2 linked regions of the Xenopus tropicalis genome follow. The protein of the gene in region 2 purifies or fractionates together with the protein of the main gene of each other region. This does not show direct contact. Links are inferred from orthologs where the notes say so. Each region holds a gene or a part of one and is shown on either strand. Other genes may lie near its edges.

Evidence for each region.
Region 1: the proteins of trmt6 (region 2) and trmt61a purify together in Homo sapiens (affinity purification with mass spectrometry; 4 studies listed by BioGRID and IntAct, counting the BioPlex papers as one, with this or other methods). This does not show direct contact. The link is inferred for Xenopus tropicalis from reciprocal best matches to the Homo sapiens genes TRMT6 and TRMT61A.

What each region holds. Positions count from the first base shown.
Region 1 is NC_030684.2:98,372,554-98,377,170, reverse strand, and holds the start of trmt61a (tRNA (adenine(58)-N(1))-methyltransferase catalytic subunit TRMT61A), read right to left. Parts: upstream 2,807-4,617; 5' UTR 2,714-2,806; intron 1,698-2,713; 5' UTR 1,675-1,697; coding exon 1,344-1,674; intron 1-1,343. UniProt on the Homo sapiens protein: Catalytic subunit of tRNA (adenine-N(1)-)-methyltransferase, which catalyzes the formation of N(1)-methyladenine at position 58 (m1A58) in initiator methionyl-tRNA.
Region 2 is NC_030681.2:25,117,159-25,121,774, forward strand, and holds the start of trmt6 (tRNA (adenine(58)-N(1))-methyltransferase non-catalytic subunit TRM6), read right to left. Parts: upstream 2,970-4,616; 5' UTR 2,872-2,969; coding exon 2,768-2,871; intron 1-2,767. UniProt on the Homo sapiens protein: Substrate-binding subunit of tRNA (adenine-N(1)-)-methyltransferase, which catalyzes the formation of N(1)-methyladenine at position 58 (m1A58) in initiator methionyl-tRNA.

The sequences.
Region 1 (4,617 bases), on a different chromosome or scaffold from region 2:
GGTTATCATCAGCCTTAATTTATATAGTTGTTTGGGATCTGTTAACAACTACATAAACCTGACAAACCTTGGACAGTTACAGAGAACTATGGCTGGTTTTGCTACTAAACTGTTTTATCAGTAAGCAAATGCATCTGATTTTTATGTGTTCCTTTATTCTATGCAATCAGAGTAATTTCTCCAGCCTTGAACCTAAATCCATGCATTATTTTATTTGAAAAGAGTCCTCCCTTGCTTGCTCTGTATCTTAATCTGATATTTCTTGCCTTGGTAGTGGTGTCCAATACAGTTGTTCTATTACTGTAAAAAAGGCATTTTAGAGGTCCACAAGCTCTGCTATTGTATTATATGAGGCAGACTATGTTAGCTGAAACTAAGAATGCTCAACATTTTGGGATTAAAGCACATTATGCCTCTCAGTGATACTGAGTTATTGCTGTATTGATACTGTATATAGCTAGACTGCAATGTCAAGGGTTATTTTAAAGGAGAATGCAAGTCAAAATTGAAAAAGCATACTGCCCAATAGTCCTCCTATTGTTTAGTAAAAACACCACACTTTTGGCTCACCTAATCAAATATTTACTCAGTCACACTTACTTCATATTTTCTAGAACAGGCAGCCATCTCTAAAAAGGTATTCTCCCTTCCTTTACCTCCTTGCTTCATACTGCACATGTGTTTCATTCCCTCCCCCCCTCCCCTCTGGCAGATCCGCTTCTGATTGGCTGGTGGGCATGTGTAGCTTAGAACAGCAGACAGGATCAAGTTACACACATGCTCAGAGAATAGGAAGGCTGCCACTGGCACCTACAGGAAGGGGAGAGAGATTTCAGTGATGTCACTGTAGTCTTCACACTGCTGTAGGCTGCCAGCCCCATATCTCAGAGAAGCAAGCAGGGATCTGGGAATTTAGATATGCAGTAAGTACTTAAAAAGAATGCCTTTAGACTTACTATTAATTTATATTAACCTTTCATTGTCCTTTAAGCAGATGTGGCATACTACCCACTATTTTGCTTTGTTGTTAATTGCTTTATCTCCCCCTGTTATTTCATATCATAAAGAAATGAAAGGCAGAGTGCAGATACAGTAATACCTTCTTTTCAAGCATCTCCTAAAGCTGGTGAGATAAAATTAGTGCAAAATGAGTTCTTACACTATGGTTTAACAATGAAACAGAATATGTTTTCAGTAAATGTTCCATTTGTTGTGTATTTCCTGGGTAAAAATTCTACTTAATAAAAGGGGAAGGTAGCCGCACACATCTATGTCACTAGCAACAAACAGTGTGAAACTGTATATGTCACATATACTGCATGCCACACATGCATACACATTACCTGATTCACATACTACTGATCCTGGCTTCAGTTCCAGCATCATTGTGATAAGAGAAATGTCAGTGGAATAAAGGATTTGTGTGCGGTGAGGAAGATTCAGGGTCCATAACTCTGGAGTAGGGTATAGGATATAGACCCATCCTCCTTTACTGCAAATCACCTTGGACCCATACTTTTTTCCTATTAAGTCAGTGGAATGTCTGATGACTCCATATTTTGTCTGTGTCTGGCTACCATTTTGGATGGTAATTGGAAACATTGAGTCATGACCCAGGAAGACAATGGCTGTATCTCCATCTTCAATAAATTCTTTGTATTCCACAAAACTCATGCTGTTATATTCTGCTGTTCAACCTAAAAGTAAAGTGAACCAAAAAATATTGTCAGTTCTAACTGAAAGCAATTTCACAAACTATAACCAGTTTAATGGTGCTTTCTAAAAAGATATATGTCTAATTTTAATTATATTTGATGAATATATTTGGTTTGAGATTGCCCAACCTATGCATTAAGCAGTTTGCATGGTAAGAAGTATAAGACCAAGACGAAGGGCAGTAAATGTATATATTTTATGACACATGCACTGTCTATCAGAGAATCTGTCATCAATAACCCCTATTAAAATTTAAGTAGCACCTTATACCAATGAAAAAGTCGTGCACTATAGAGCCCAGTTTATGAAAGTGAATGAATGCCAGATTTATCTTAAGCGCCAACATGAAAACGACTTCATTTATTAGAGCACACTTTAGATATACCACAGTTAAATGTGCTACCACTACTAAATGGGCTGTTGTTTGCTATTTTAATCTAATACATTTAGCCCAATAAACCTTTCAAGCAGTAACATGGCTAAAACACTGATCTGATATATATGCTCTCCAAAGAAATCTACAAATCTTTACTATGACATTGTGAGCATTACAAACTAGGAATTACAGTACTTGGTCACAATGCTTTGGGATGTTACACTTTGACATCCTTGCCTTTGGAATGTCATAGCTTGCATAATACAAGGAATACCCAGTTCTTCTTTGCACCTGCTTTGTGTATTATATATCAGAAACTGGAAGCAAAGGACCTTTTCCCTTTCCTATTTGAAGATCACTATTTAAGGAGCTCCCTGACCCTGGATTGTATTACTCCACTACAGAATGTAAAAGTATTCACGTGATACATCATAAGCAACTGGAGTATCACACCCACCACACACCGACTTGACATATTGATGGGCAGTGGGCCACTGAGGAATACATCATCAGAAACTGGATTATCATTATTATTAATGGAAATGAGTGAATATATCACACATTTTAGACAAGCTAACAGATGTCTTAGCCTCATGGATATTCTGTTTTATAAAAACTCACGATTTGTAGCCGGAATGTAGCAAGGAACTACTGTACACAAGATCCCTGGCAAAACGCCGCTTCCTCCTACTAGGCACGTGTGCCGGTTCCGCGTCGCACAGAGATGACGTCACGGAGACTTGCGCTTGTCAGTGGTGCTGGCAGGGAAGTTCCCTGAGCATATAAACCACGTATCTTGGCTGGGTTTAGGATGGAACATTAGCAGCCTAAGCAAAAATGCGTGCTGGCAGGATAAATTAATAATAATATACATTTCGTTAGAAAAGATACATTTGGGCTTTATACAACTAATCCCTTAGAGCTGATGCGCACGTCTTCTGCTGCACCTTTTCTGTGAGATGAACCTGTGTTACCTACAATGGGCTATTAAATATAAATAAATGCCGCATTTGTATTTGAAATCATTACTGTGACCCCCTCACACTTTCTTTACAAGCCCGCCCTAGTGCCGTGCGGCTTTCTGCTGTCAGCAGTGACTTCTCCATCAGTACCTTCCCACACCATAACCACCCTGCTCTATACGCTTTTCTAAATCACAGTTAATTCCAATTTCCAAATTGCTAAAAAAAACATTTCTCCACAGCAACAGTACTAATGAAAGGATAGGATGGTAGTGGGCACTTGGACAAATGGATTATAAAGCATGCATTCGTTTTACCAGATGTGCATGCCAATGTCAAATCTCCACTGTGATATCACTTGTTGAAGGGCCCTTTATATTTTTAAAAAATGATGTCACACAAAGATGTCAGTGATATTCTTTGATAGGATGAGAGTTATTCTGAAATTCTGAAATTTTAAAGCCACACACGTGTCCCACAGGCCTGAAGATTGCCTAGCCCTAAAGGTAGTAGAGACCTCATTTTTTTTGTTAGTATAAAGATTTTGTAAAGATAATACTCTAGCTAGTGGATAGTGACCAACATGTTGCTCCCCACCCCCTTTGATGTTGCTCCCAGTGGCCTCAAAGCCCACTTTTAAATCTCTGGCTTGGAGACAAGTTTTGGAAGCACGGATACAGAGACTCCAAGAAGAGCATCCCGCAGGCCAGCAGTCCACATGGTGCTACCAAATAACCAATCACAGTGCTTATTTAGAATACTCAAAGAACTTTTTTCATGCTTGTGTGGCTCACCAACAATTTGTACATCTGAGTGTGGCTCACAAGTAAAAAAGCTGGGGATCCCTGCTCTAGGCTACACCCAGTGATTTATTTGCAAGAAATAAAGAGAATTTCTTAAACTTGTGAGCATTGTGAAAGTTGCCCTAAAACATAGAAAGACTGATTTAGACATAGACATACACACATGTTTATTGGATGATTATCTTGTCCTTACCAATTTAAGCCCCCTTGATCTGATCACTCTTCACTCCATAATCATACCCTTGGTGGGTTCACTTGTTAGTTTAGGCTCCCTACATCCTGATATGGCTCTCATACAGAACACCTATACTAAATGCATAGATTAACATGTTGCCACACAATAATTGATGTATATTAACACAGAATCTATGGGGTTTTCACAGTAACTAAGGCTATGGACAAACAAAAGGAAACTATCATCTCATCCAAGAGACAAATAGCATATGACTTACATTTAGCAGGTCATGCAGCTATTAACCCATAGTAAGGGGATACATTAGCCAGGCACTGTAGGATCATACATTCCATAAAATCATTTTTTTAGGTAAAGACTTTTACTTCTGGTTTAAAATAGTTAGTATGTAAAGCTGGGTTAATTGCTTCAAGAGCTGTCTGTTGCATTTAACATGGGAGAGTAGTTCAGACTAGGGAGAGAGTGTAAAAATAGATTTTCTTTTGAATCCTGGAAGCCTTTAATTAGTAAAGAATGGGTTAATCTCATACTTCTATTCCACTTTATTACAGACCAGGCCCTCAGACT
Region 2 (4,616 bases):
TGTCTTGGTAGGTTTACAGTTGTGCCATAATCCTTCCATTTCTGAATGATCGCTTGAACAGTGCTCCGTGGGATGTTCAAGGCTTTGGAAATCTTTTTGTAGCCTAAGCCTGCTTTAAATTTCTCAATAACTTTATCCCTGACCTGTCTGGTGTGTTCTTTGGACTTCATGGTGTTGTTGCTCCCAATATTCTCTTAGACAATCTCTGAGGCCGTCACAGAGCAGCTGTATTTGTACTGACATTAGATTACACACAGGTGCACTCTATTTACTCATTAGCACTAATCAGGCAATGTCTATGGGCAACTGACTGCACTCAGACCAAAGGGGGCTGAATAATTACGCACACCCCACTTTGCAGTTATTTATTTGTAAAAAATGTTTGGAATCATGTATGATTTTCATTCCACTTCTCACGTGTACACCACTTTGTATTGGTCTTTCACATGGAATTCCAATAAAATTGATTCATGTTTGTGGCTGTAATGTGATAAAATGTGGAAAAGTTCAAGGGGGCCGAATACTTTTGCAAGCCACTGTATTTACAGATACTGTCGTACAAACGAGGGGATATGACCAAAATTGTCTACCTTTCCCAGTCACAAAAATATCCTTGCCACTATAATATCTGTTCCCAATCATCTGATCAGCACACATTAACAGAATATTTATGAAATCCCTTATTAGGTACTGTTATCAGGGCTATTTAATATGAAGAGGTCATTCTACCAGCAGTTTACAAAACCAGTATGCTGCAACTCCTTGCTATTGGATATGAGTCAGTTAACAGCAGCAGGAAGATCCTAGCTTGAACATAAACCATTAAGGATAATCCCAAAATATTGTACATTTGTTGCTGCACTTTTGCACATACAGAAATATGGGATAATTCTCTTTGCAGTGACATTTGCTTGTGGGGACAACACAAAGACAGCTGAATCAGAAGATGGTGTGGGTTCTAGAAGTAGAAAGAATCTCTATCGGATAGTGATTAGCACTGAAGCGTTGGGATCCTAGATTCAGTTCCAGCAGGAGCATTATGTGTCAACGCTATATAAATAAAGAATAATAAATTAATCAAAGTTTAGGAATTCTGCTATGGTGCTTAGAACTTTTAGTTACAGTACTAGTATGCAGGTTTCTATTACTTGTTGCTACATTAAAGGGCATCTGTCATTGAAAAAGCTTATAGAGCCTGCACTCCAGTAAGGGTCTAAATTGTTTTTTCCCCCAAAACATGCCTCTTGCAATAGCTGGGTAACTCCTGGTGTGGTTGGTCATATTTGATGACATGCTTGCACATAAGGCTGATGCCACATGCGGCGTAGGGCTGATTTTTTCGGCAAGCGGAAAAACGCTTGCCGAAAATTCAGCCCTACGCCTGCTACTTGTGCCTGCACCCGAATGAATGGAATACGCTCGGGTGCAGGCACATGTAGCCGATATACGCATGAAAACGCGAGACTTTGCATTCTCTCGCGTTTTCATGCGTATATCGGCTACATGTGCCTGCACCCAAGCGTATCCCATTCATTCGGGTGCAGGCACAAGTAGCAGGCGTAGGGCTGAATTTTCGGCAAGCGTTTTTCCGCTTGCCGAAAAAATCAGCCCTACGCCGTGTGTGGCATCAGCCTAATAAGGGAGTCCCTCAGCTTGCTCATTATGTGCATGATGTAGGAGCGTTGGACTTCCAGTGGGTAAAGAGTTTTCTATGATTGGTACAATCGATATCTGTTATACAGTGCTGCCTGCATGAGGATTATTATATAAATAAAAATATACATACATTTGTTCAGCACAATTGCCCCTGACAGAGCAAATTACTGACAAGCATTTCCCACAGCATGCTCCAGGATTAAGGACCAACTACAAACTTGCCGACCAAACATTAGTCACCATTCTGCTTTTATAATTACACACAATAACAGATGCTGAATCAGCAGGCCAGTAGGTGACAGCGATAACCATTAGGGTGAAGACACACAAAGCTACTTGTGGCTACTAAAATAGACAATGCTGATCATTTACATTTACATTTACATTGGGAGATGTCGCCCGCGACAATGAAGATTTGTCGTGGGCGAATAATCTCCCCGTGTACCACTGCCCTCAGGGTGAAGACACACAGAGCTACTAGTAGCAGCTACTTATCATCACAGCTACTAAAACAAACAATACTGATCATATACTGATAATTGTCTCTACGTGTGTTTAAGGGCTCTGGTACACGGGGAGATTAGTCGCCCGCGGCAAAACTCCCTGCTCGCGGGCGACTAATCTCCCCGAGTTGCCTTCCCTCTGCCATCCCACCGGCGAACATGTAAGTCGCCGGCGGGATGGCAGACGCGGCGGCGCGATTTCGCGCAAATCGCCGAAAAAGACTCGCGAGGCTTTTTCGGCGATTTCCCGAAATCGCCCCGCCGCGTCTGCCATCCCACCGGCGACTTACATGTTCGCCGGTGGGATGGCAGAGGGAAGGCAACTCGGGGAGATTAGTCGCCTGCGAGCAGGGAGTTTTGCCGCGGGCGACTAATCTCCCCGTGTACCAGAGCCCTTAGCAGAGGCAATTCTCAGTATTGTCTATGGCAGGGTATTTTCTGGAGTTTAGTAACCATGAAAAAGTAGCTGCTACTAGTAGCTCCGTGTGTTTTTCCCCTTACAGACACGATGCCAGCATGGCAGGCGCTAAACATGCTGAATGAAGTGCTGATGCGCATAGCCCTGTGTGAGAGCGCACTGCTGTCACTGCACCAACACTCCTACTTACTTCCTCCTCTGCACTTGCACGGCTTTGAACACATCCTGCCTCTTCAGTACCACGAAGTCGCCCTCACTAACAAGCTTGCTGGGGGCAGTGTCACACTCATCCATGCTTCCCTCCTGCCAAGCCCTCCGCACATATGGGAGACACGATCCTACCCCCCTGCTACAGCTCCGGCTTCAGCCAAGCGCAACCCATGTGCTACCCGCACACTGCTTCCGGGTCCCAGGCAATAGACCGGAGCAATCAACTACTGAGAGAATCGAGCGCATCGTGCGTTCGGCGGTCTACTGACGTAATCTACTCAGTCCCCCGGTACGCCGCTCATGCTGGCTAGAATGTATGGGGGCCAGTGTGACTTTTGCTTTGGGGAGGCCGAAGGGTTAAGAAAGAGGTGAAATCAAATATTGGAAGGGTTTGTGACACAAGGGCAATTACACTACTAAATGAAAAGGAGAGCGTCATTGCTGTGCAGCTTCCTAGCTGCGGTTGCTAAGGCAACCAGTTGTGTCAGTGGGCGGAAGTGACGCGAAGGCGCGGAGTTTGGAATTAGTAGTGAGGGAGGAGGCGGCTGGAAGGAGCCGGGTAGGTGCTTATTATGAAATAGGGACGGATTTAGGCAAGGGTGGCTTGCTCTTGGGGCTAAATAGTGGTGACTGCACAAAGCAGAATTATGAGATGGCCGAGGCAAAGAAAGCAAAGCTACTGCCATTGATCTGTATAAGCACAGCCTGTAATGTGACAGGAGCTCAATAGCAGGAGTTATTGAAGGGATTCAGTTATGTTTTTTATGGGGTACTTTTTATTTCTAAATTACAATGTTTACATAGCAAATAATTCACTCTGCCATTTAAAATGTTATTCTTGAATCAGCAAATGTATTTTTTTTTTAACTGTAATATTGGTGTGTTGGTGCCATCTCAGTACCTCGTCCCTGTCCGCAAAGTTTTGGGGTGGGGAAGAGGCGAGGCCTTGATGCCAAGGGGGTGGGGCTATGACATGGTGAGCGTCGATTTCCCGATCGCCGTGTCAATGTCAGTGAGTCCTGCCCAGTTTTCCTAATTTTGGAAACCGAGCAGAAGGTTTTGACTCAGACAGTCCTTCCAAAAACTGCGCTGTCCGGGCCAATACCAGACAGGTGGCAACCCTACTATTGAGTGCTATTCTGATACCTACTGGGAGCCATGGGCGTCCGCAGAAAATTTTCCAAGGGGGGGCAAGTAAGCTAGCATCATCCTGCAACAGACAAATATATATATATATATATATATATATATATATATATATATATATATATAAAAATATATATATTTTTTTTTGCAGGATGATACTAGGGGAGGCTAAAGATGGCCCATACACAGACTGACCTACAGCTAATGTGACACTTAGTGGATTCGCTGCTGGCGTAAAAAGTTAACCTCCCAACTACCTCTTGCCGTTCCCACTGACTCCCAGGGATACTGTACAAAAGTGCGGGTGGGGGTGCTTTTTTTTTTTTACCCTAAAATGTTTAGGATGTAAAAGTATTCATACGCGCACTTCTGTTAGGGGATCTGCAAACATTTGTGTTTGTGATCAGTTAGCTTAAAGGGGTAGTTCGCATTCAATTCACTTTTATTTTTAATGGTTTTTCAGTTATTTAGCTTTTTGTTCAGCAGCTCTCCATTTGGTATTTCAGCAGCTATCTGGTTGCTAGGGTCTTATTTACCCTAGCAACCAGGTAGTGGTTTAAACAAGAGATGGGAATATGAATAGTTAAGGGGCCTACTTAGAAAAATAAGTAATACAAAATTATAATAATAATAAAATTGTAGCCTCACAGAGCAATATTTTTTGGCCCCCATTTGAAATCTGT